Linked DNA regions of Arabidopsis thaliana. The protein of the gene in region 1 interacts with the protein of each later gene in a biochemical or structural test. Each region holds a gene or a part of one and is shown on either strand. Other genes may lie near its edges.

Evidence for each region.
Region 2: the proteins of WRKY39 (region 1) and CAM5 form a complex in vitro, tested with the Arabidopsis thaliana proteins (one study listed by BioGRID).

What each region holds. Positions count from the first base shown.
Region 1 is NC_003074.8:1,265,499-1,269,965, reverse strand, and holds WRKY39 (WRKY DNA-binding protein 39), read left to right. Parts: upstream 1-1,587; 5' UTR 1,588-2,274; coding exon 2,275-2,993; intron 2,994-3,075; coding exon 3,076-3,201; coding exon of another isoform or gene 3,202-3,229; exon of another isoform or gene 3,230-3,288; coding exon 3,289-3,436; 3' UTR 3,437-3,910; downstream 3,911-4,467. Other genes in the region: AT3G04660 (F-box and associated interaction domains-containing protein), read right to left, coding at 4,000-4,467. UniProt on the Arabidopsis thaliana protein: Transcription factor. Interacts specifically with the W box (5'-(T)TGAC[CT]-3'), a frequently occurring elicitor-responsive cis-acting element.
Region 2 is NC_003071.7:11,530,412-11,534,906, forward strand, and holds CAM5 (calmodulin 5), read left to right. Parts: upstream 1-1,555; 5' UTR 1,556-1,657; coding exon 1,658-1,733; intron 1,734-2,275; coding exon 2,276-2,645; coding exon of another isoform or gene 2,646-2,649; exon of another isoform or gene 2,650-2,873; intron 2,874-3,665; coding exon 3,666-3,765; 3' UTR 3,766-3,947; downstream 3,948-4,495. Other genes in the region: PAG1 (20S proteasome alpha subunit G1), read right to left, coding at 173-212, 344-753. UniProt on the Arabidopsis thaliana protein: Calmodulin mediates the control of a large number of enzymes, ion channels and other proteins by Ca(2+). Among the enzymes to be stimulated by the calmodulin-Ca(2+) complex are a number of protein kinases and phosphatases.

The DNA of each region.
Region 1 (4,467 bases):
TTTCTTCTTTATCAAATGCACAAGTTTTTGAGTTTAAAAGATCATTATTGCGGAATAGATGGTTGGTTGTAATTTGATGTTATGAAGTGAGCAAAAAATAATGTTGATTTACTAGTGCGTTAGTTCTGTTTGTTTGGTTCAGCATATTCAAGTGATGTGTGTAGCATTTTTAAATTTGATAGGTCGAACATATCTTATGTTATTGGATGATTTCGAAATAGTATATGATAATGTTCAAAGTCACACATGTATTATTATTGGTTATTAATTCAACTAAATTACTATCACATTTTAAGTCACTTCAATTGTATTGTTGTATAAGCTCTGTATTTAGAATCGGATCCGAAGAATATTAGTTGGTCTGTCTAACCAAGTCGCATTAATCTTATATGATTCTCCTAGAATAGAAAAGAATATTTTATTCTTATGCTAATTCAATTGAAAGATAATTAAAACGGATATGTTTTGAGTTCAAAATGTTAAAATTGTCATTCATTTGCAATAGACAAAACATATTTAGAAAATTCTAAATTTACATGCTACAAGATCTTCTATATGCTTTAATAGCCTCATTTTTTTTTTTAACCCTGCACATTAAATACAGAAAATTTCAATCATTTGACTGATGATTAGAGATTTATAGATATAAGAAGAAAGTTTCACTTATCATTGTGAATATGATAAAACAAGAATAATAAAAATATCGTATAATTAACAACAAGAACAACAAACACAAAAAAAAAAACAGAAAGAAAGAAAACAAAAAAGAGCTAGTCAACAATCGTGATTCGTGATACAACGTGCTAGAGAGACGACCAGATGAGATAGGGCACGTGTCGAAATCTATACCGTTACTTTTCTAACTCCGTGCTCGGAATTCGAAATCAACGGGAGACACGTGGGTTCCACAATGGACGTTATTTCCATTTCATGACAATCGAGAAATAGTTAAATAAAAAATAAAAAATATTTTCTAAAATGAATACAAAATCAATTCGAATTTTGCTTTGGAATTAGAATCATTTTTAAAACATATGAATATAGTAGTACAAGAATTTTACTGAGTCAATGTCCAATTATCATTAAAGATATTTGACTCTAATCCATTCTCTTTCTCTAATTTTTCTTTAAAGATATTATAGTTAATCACATCATTTACTTTAAGAGAAAGATATCCGAAAATCAGAAAATGTTAAGATACATTATCTAATTTCCTTTAATTGATACGGTTTATGATTTTAATCAATTTTCTATTTGTACGAAAAACAGTAGGTATAAAGTAGGTCCACTAGTAGGACCCACCTAAGAAACTCTTTTTTAACAGAGGGCTCTGTTTTTTTTTTCTTCCTCTCCTCTGAAACTGCGACGACCACATCTCTGTTCTGTATTCCACTTATGTTTTTGTGTTTGGTTTTATTTTCCCCAGAAATTGAATAACTTTAGCTTTTAAGAATAAAAAGGAAAATTTAAAATTGAAATTTGGTCTCCTTGAGAAGTGAATAAATGAAGAAAAAAAGGAAATAAAAAGGGGTTTTTGGTAATATTTAAAAATTGTAGAAATGGTGGTGGTGGGGGAATTTTAAGTAAAAGCAAGTCTAAACTCTTCCCCACCCACAAAGCAAAAGTCATAACCTTTGACACTTTTTTATCTCACCATCTCTATCTCTCTCTCTCTCTCACAAAGAAACAAACAAGACAAATCTTTCTTTCTCTTTATTTTATCCTAAAATTTCCTATCTGATTTCTTCCTCTTGAGCTAAATTTGTTACCTTCTGGGTATTCAAAAAGATCTCATTTTTTCTTCTAGCTCTAAATTTTCAGGGAGTTTCTTTCTTCTTCTTTTGAAGACCCTTTGTCATGAGCTAATTTTTATCCTCTGTGTGTTGAGAAAGATCTCATTTTTTAGCTTTAGGATTGAGGGAGTTTCGATTTTTACTTAGCACTTTTCCTTGGAAGTGATTTGGTGGAACTCATGGTGATTGGTTTCTTCCTAGGGTTATTAGAGATTGAGTTCTGGATTTTTCACGCGCCTTGGATTTGATCTAATGTACTCTCTTTTTTCATGTCTTAATCTGGTTTAGATTTTTATTTTGAGATCTTTTGTTATATAGGTTGCAAGTTCTGTATTTTGTTAGGCTTTTTAGTTTCTGTGTTGATTATGATTCTCTTGGTCTAGGAGAGATTTGGGTGTTGTTAACTGTTTGAGTTTGAGAATTGTGAAATTAGGTTTTTTTTTTTTGGTTCTCTGATCTGAAACTTGGGTAGAAGAAAAACATGGAGGAAGTTGAAGCTGCTAACAGATCAGCTATAGAAAGCTGTCATGGAGTGTTAAATCTCTTGTCACAACGAACCAGTGATCCCAAATCCTTAACGGTTGAAACAGGAGAAGTAGTTTCCAAGTTCAAAAGAGTAGCTTCTCTGTTAACTAGAGGGTTAGGCCATGGAAAGTTTAGGAGTACCAACAAGTTTAGGTCATCTTTTCCTCAACACATCTTCTTAGAGAGTCCTATTTGCTGCGGTAATGATCTAAGTGGTGATTACACTCAAGTTCTTGCACCAGAGCCACTTCAGATGGTTCCAGCTTCTGCTGTTTATAATGAAATGGAGCCAAAACACCAATTGGGTCATCCTTCATTAATGCTTAGTCACAAAATGTGTGTTGACAAGTCGTTTCTGGAGTTAAAGCCACCTCCTTTTCGTGCTCCTTATCAGTTAATCCACAACCACCAGCAGATAGCTTACTCCAGGAGTAATAGCGGTGTAAACCTTAAGTTTGATGGATCTGGTAGTAGTTGCTATACTCCGAGTGTATCAAACGGATCAAGATCATTTGTGTCATCTCTTAGCATGGATGCTAGTGTAACAGACTACGATAGGAACTCGTTCCATTTGACCGGATTGTCCCGTGGGTCTGACCAACAGCATACCCGGAAGATGTGCTCTGGTAGTTTGAAATGCGGAAGTCGAAGCAAATGTCACTGTTCCAAGAAAAGGTTTGTCATTGTTCTTTGTGACAATCTTGACCCTTTAAATTGTTCTTTTTGTATCTCTTTGTAAAGGTTTGATCTTATACAGGAAACTGAGGGTAAAACGATCAATCAAGGTGCCTGCAATCAGTAACAAGATTGCAGACATTCCTCCAGATGAGTATTCTTGGAGGAAGTATGGACAGAAACCGATAAAGGGTTCACCGCATCCACGGTATATATATAAACATCTTCTGGTATAAGATTTCAATAACTTTATGTCGATTTTGATATAAGTTTCCTTTTGTTGTTTCGGTTGCAGGGGATACTATAAATGCAGCAGTGTGAGAGGTTGTCCAGCAAGGAAGCATGTGGAGCGATGTATTGATGAAACTTCAATGTTAATTGTAACTTACGAAGGCGAGCATAACCATTCAAGAATATTGTCTTCACAATCAGCTCACACTTGATGATACAGAGTCAATATGTATGTCCTTTTGGCGTCTACTCTTGGATTTGAAGAAAGAATGAATTTGATTCAAGAAACCGGTCTTTGTAGCTCTGATTTGCAATTGTATATTTCCACTCTGACAGAAGTTATAAGAGCACTTGTGAACTCGGATTATGTGGCAGAGGCAGTACCAAGAAACATCAACAATTTGGTTTCAACTGAGCTTTTTCTTCAATATATGTATCAATGCATGCAACGATATATAAGGTTGAGTCATAAAATGATGAAGAAGATCCGTCTAGGCAACACAAAACTCTTTTTCTTCTCTCCAAATATAAAACCGAAGCTTGTAAGATCCACGCAAAAGTTACTTTAATCAAGTCATAAGCATTGCATTTGCATAATCCGAAAGCATAGAAAACCATTGACCAAAAGACTAGACAAATGGTGAATCAAATGTCTCAATTCCAATATCAAAGAAGAGAGTCTTTAAAACTATATCTATCCGAGAACTGAAATGGAAATTGAACAAAGAAGAGAAGCTTGGGGAAAAACCAAACGAACTAGTCATCAACATATATATTAAGTTAGCTTCGACAGAACCATATGACTCTCTACGTGATCGAAAAAGACATTAATAGCAGCATAGTCTTCTCCAATTCCTTGAATCACAACTTTTCTAGCAGTTTTTTCCTTGGGATCGTAACAGAGAAAAAAGAAGGGCGGCTTGGGGGTTGGGAGCAGTGAAAGTATAATCTCACCAGTAGAAAGTATACCCCTGAAAATGACTCTTTGATCATTCCCAACTATATCTGTAATAGAAGGAACTATGGCAGCAACTTTTGACCACTCTTCTTTGCTGACATCTTCAAGAACCCACAGGTCCATTGGACCGCTGTATGCCTGACTCACTATAGCTATCTTTCCACTATGGTCCACCATATTACCAAACTGTTGTAATATATAATCCTCAGGTAGCTTAGTAACATTAAATTCTTCAGAGCTCAGATCAAAGCTCATCAGAGATCGTTTATCGTTGAAAGAAGCTAA
Region 2 (4,495 bases), on another chromosome or scaffold:
TGTCATCTTGGGTCAAAATTTACACGGTATATATTACATCAAATCTACAATTCTGATAACAAAAATGTGAATACTTCATTCCAAGGTTAAATCACAGCACGAGAGACTAAACCCACTGAAGAAAGTGACAAAGTAGTATAAAAATCAATAGAGGAAGGAGGAAGAATCAAACCATAACAATCCCATCTTTGCACTTGATTCCAACAACAGTCCTGCGAAGAAAAAAAAAGGGAAAGACTTTTAACAAACCCTAATTCGTGTCGATAACCAAAATCTCAAAGTTTTCAGAAGCTAAATCCGATCTACTAAAGGGCGAAGATCGAAGAAGATAAAGCCAACTAACCCACTGTTGTCGACAGCTTTAGCGGCGTACTCGATCTGGAAAACACGGCCATCGGGAGAGAAAGTGGTGACGGAGAGATCGTACCCAGTTCCAATGCTACTCATCTTCCTTGATTTTTTTTTTCTCTGACTCTTTTCTGATTTCTTCTTCGTCGAGTGATTTAAGCTGAGATCGAAGAAAGGGGTTTTCTTTGTTCTCAAGCCAGAGACAAGCCAAATCTTTGGAGCTCCGTCTGACTCCGGGTTGGATATTAAAACGATTCGGGTTGTTTTGTCGGGTGGGTCGATTCGGTTATTAACGGGCTTTATTAATATTATGATTTGGCCCATTCTTTGGTAATCTTTTAACGGTATCGTGAATATTTTTAAGTGATTTTCCTCTTTTGTATAATTTTGAATAATCAACCACATGAGGAAGAAAGAAATATTTCTCTTACTCAACAAAATATATGATCATACAACACTTCTTTATGAACTCACTAGAGGTAAGACTATAATATGCTCTAGCATTGGGACACACAAACTTTGGGATGCTCAACATTACATGTTTTTAAAACCAAGACAGTAAATTACCTATAATTGTGATGGATACAATAAGTTTGTTTTTTACTACATCTCTAGCCAAACTGAGAGACATAGTTGTGGCGATCAAAAAAGTATGACAGTTTTGCGAAAACTGGATCTTGTTTAATATCAAATCTTTAAGTGAAGGTCATGATGCTTAACTACCCATTAGGTGACCCTTCCAACAACAAAGTAGTGATTTTTGTCCTAACTCCTAGATGATTATTAATTACAAAAACAGTAAATAAAAAGTACTACTATTTCTAAATTTTCTTATAATGCTAAAACTTTTTCTTTGGTTAACTTAATTAAAAAGTAGTTTAAAATCCATGGTAAACACAAAGCTAAACCTTTTTTACCGTTTTATATCACTAGTAATCCCATTCTACCAACTCGTTGAATACTTAGTATTGGTACGCATGGTAAGATCAGTAACTTATATGAACTAAACCATTCAAAGCATGTAAATGGTTGTCGGCAAAACAACAATACTATTTCTTTTCACAAGGGAATATATACATCACCTCCCTCTTAAGTAAAGCTAGTCGAATTGAAAACACAATAAGGCCCAGTGGAGAACAAAACAAAAGAAGAATAAAAAAGAGAATCAGATTCGAAATTATTGTTATTGGGCCTAATGGGCCTTTTCTTTTTCCTTCTTTATAATTCCACACAACAATCCTCTCATTACACACACCAACGTTGATTCTTCTTCTTCTTCTTCTTCTCTCTTTCTCATCTAAACCAAAAAATGGCAGATCAGCTCACCGATGATCAGATCTCTGAGTTCAAGGAAGCTTTTAGCCTTTTCGACAAAGACGGAGATGGTTCTTCTCTCTCAGATCTTTCCTCTTTTGTATAATTTTCATTCATAATAGACTCACTTGCGTTTTTTTTGGTGTTTTGAGTATCACTTAGTCTTGGCTTTAGGAATTTGATGCTCTTCGTTGTCCATAAAATCTCTGGATATTCACATTAACATTAAACGCGAGATTTGATGATATCTTTATCGTTCGTTGATTATAAATTATAATCGCAATCGGATCTATCTCGATAATAATCTCTAACTTAATCGTGTTTTAGTCTTCCAGATTTTACTAATTGTGATTAGAATTGACACAAATCTTAGAATTCAATAATCGAAGTAGATTACATTGACATTTGTAGATTTTTTGTTTAATTGATTCAGTTATTTGAGTAGGTTACAATGAAATTTGAAGATTTTGTGTTCATTTGATACAGTTGTTAGAGTAACTAAAATGAAATTTGAAGATTTTGTGTGTTATTAGAGTAAATTACAATGAAAATTTGAAGATTTGGTGTTAAAATCTGTTACTGATTTGAGAGAAATGTGTGGTTTTGTGTTTAGGTTGCATCACAACGAAAGAGCTAGGAACAGTGATGAGATCATTAGGTCAAAATCCAACAGAAGCAGAGTTACAAGATATGATAAACGAAGTAGATGCTGATGGTAACGGAACCATAGACTTCCCTGAGTTTCTGAACCTAATGGCTAGGAAGATGAAGGACACTGACTCTGAAGAAGAGCTCAAAGAAGCTTTCAGGGTTTTCGATAAGGACCAGAACGGTTTCATCTCGGCAGCTGAGTTAAGACATGTAATGACAAATCTTGGTGAGAAGTTAACTGATGAAGAAGTTGATGAGATGATCAAAGAAGCTGATGTTGATGGAGATGGTCAGATCAATTATGAAGAGTTTGTCAAAGTTATGATGGCAAAGTGAGGAAACTATTCTCATATCTTTTCTCTCTTTTTCTTTCTTTCTTTTTTTGAATTGAACAACTCTGATTATTGCTTTATTCTATGTTTGACTGTTCATTATTATGCATTCGTCCCAAATTTCATGTTATGAACTATTTTGTGACTTTGGGTTAAATTATTTGTTTGGAAGTTTTTAGTTTATTTTATATTATGTGAAGTACCATTGTAATGGTCGTTGAAAAAGCTATCTCTTGGTATTAGTACTTTTTTATTTTATTGTATTTTATAGTTTGCAATGTTTGTTAAAAAAAAAAAGGGTTATTTGTGTGATTAAAATTTGTAGGAAAAATGTCTGAAAACATTATATCGGTAGTTTTAAAAGCTTAGAATTTTTTATTTATTTTTAAATTGTTGGTCAATTTGGAAATTCCCCTATTTTTTAGAGGAATGTTGGCAATAATCCATATAATTTGAGTCAAATTAAAATATGTTTTTCTTATTTTACGGTTCATATAAGAAAATAAGTAAACTGTTAGAAAAAAGTATTATCATTTGTAACGATTAAAACAAGAGATAAAATTTAGGAAATACGAAAAAGGGTTAAAGAAAAACATAACTTCCATTTCATTTTTTCTTTCAAAAGTTTTCAAGCTTCAGTTCTCTTTTTCCCCACTTCAACTTTCAGCTTTGTAAATAACATTCGTGTTTTTCTTGATTCAATATATTCTACATTTTAACAAAAACATATAAAAAGTGGTGTATGCATACAGTAGTTATTCGTGAGGTAGAACGTAATTGTTTAAATTAAAAGGCAGATATGTTTTGGGGAATAAAATCAAAAATGGATGGTAAGTAGCAAAAGCTAGATAGATGAAATGAGAATCTCCAAACCTTTAATTATGACTGAACTTTTTTGTTGGTAACCAGTATTTTTTATTTTTACTTTTTTTTGTTACAAGGCTTAGTTTCTTCTTTTTCTTTTAAATATTATCGAAAATCTTGATACCTAATTATTTTAAAATGTGTGTAATTTATTAGGAGAAGAGGGAAGAGAGTTATGGCAGCAAAGCGTAGTAGCAATTCTGCTGAATACAAAGAAAAGAATGGTCGCCGGAAAAGTCACTGCCGTATTCTCTGAGCTCCGACCATTTGCTTCTTAATTCCTTTTCTTTATATGTTTGTGTGCAATAAGAGATTTGTACCTCTCACACCCATTAAACGGATTTTAAATGTCATATCTTGTTTGAATATGTTAAATATTTACTATACTGTTATATAAAAAGTTTTAAAGTACTATCAATATAGTAAGTTCATTTAGGCATTTCCTATCTACCACAATGTTTAATTTTCGTCTACAACATACGCACACTTATCAAACTTGAATCCAAGTATATAGCGACAACACTAAATCCGAGTTATGATACGACGGTGGCACTAGTACAGAAACACTATCACAATGTTTTTAAGATATTAGCAAGAGAAAACTCAGAAAAGATACACGACCAATATTAGGAGACTTTAACTAATACTCTGGCGATCTAACTGTTATAATTTATCAGTTGATTTAGGCGTTAGGCATTTGCTATCTATCAACAATGTGGGCGGGCATATGGTCTAATTCTTGTGAGATGATAATACAATTAAAACAAAGAAAATACTTTTTTAGGAACTAAACCTAAACTTAAAAGTCTTTCTAATCAGTTGCTATTTAAGTATTTTCATAATAAATCAAGAAATGCAAATTGTACATGAATTCGAAAAGCCTCTCGTTAAGAAAACTTATGATTAAGAATATAATATCCAAATACTAGTTTATAACACCAAATGCATTGAAACACTTTGTGTCACTTAGCATCAAACATTAAACA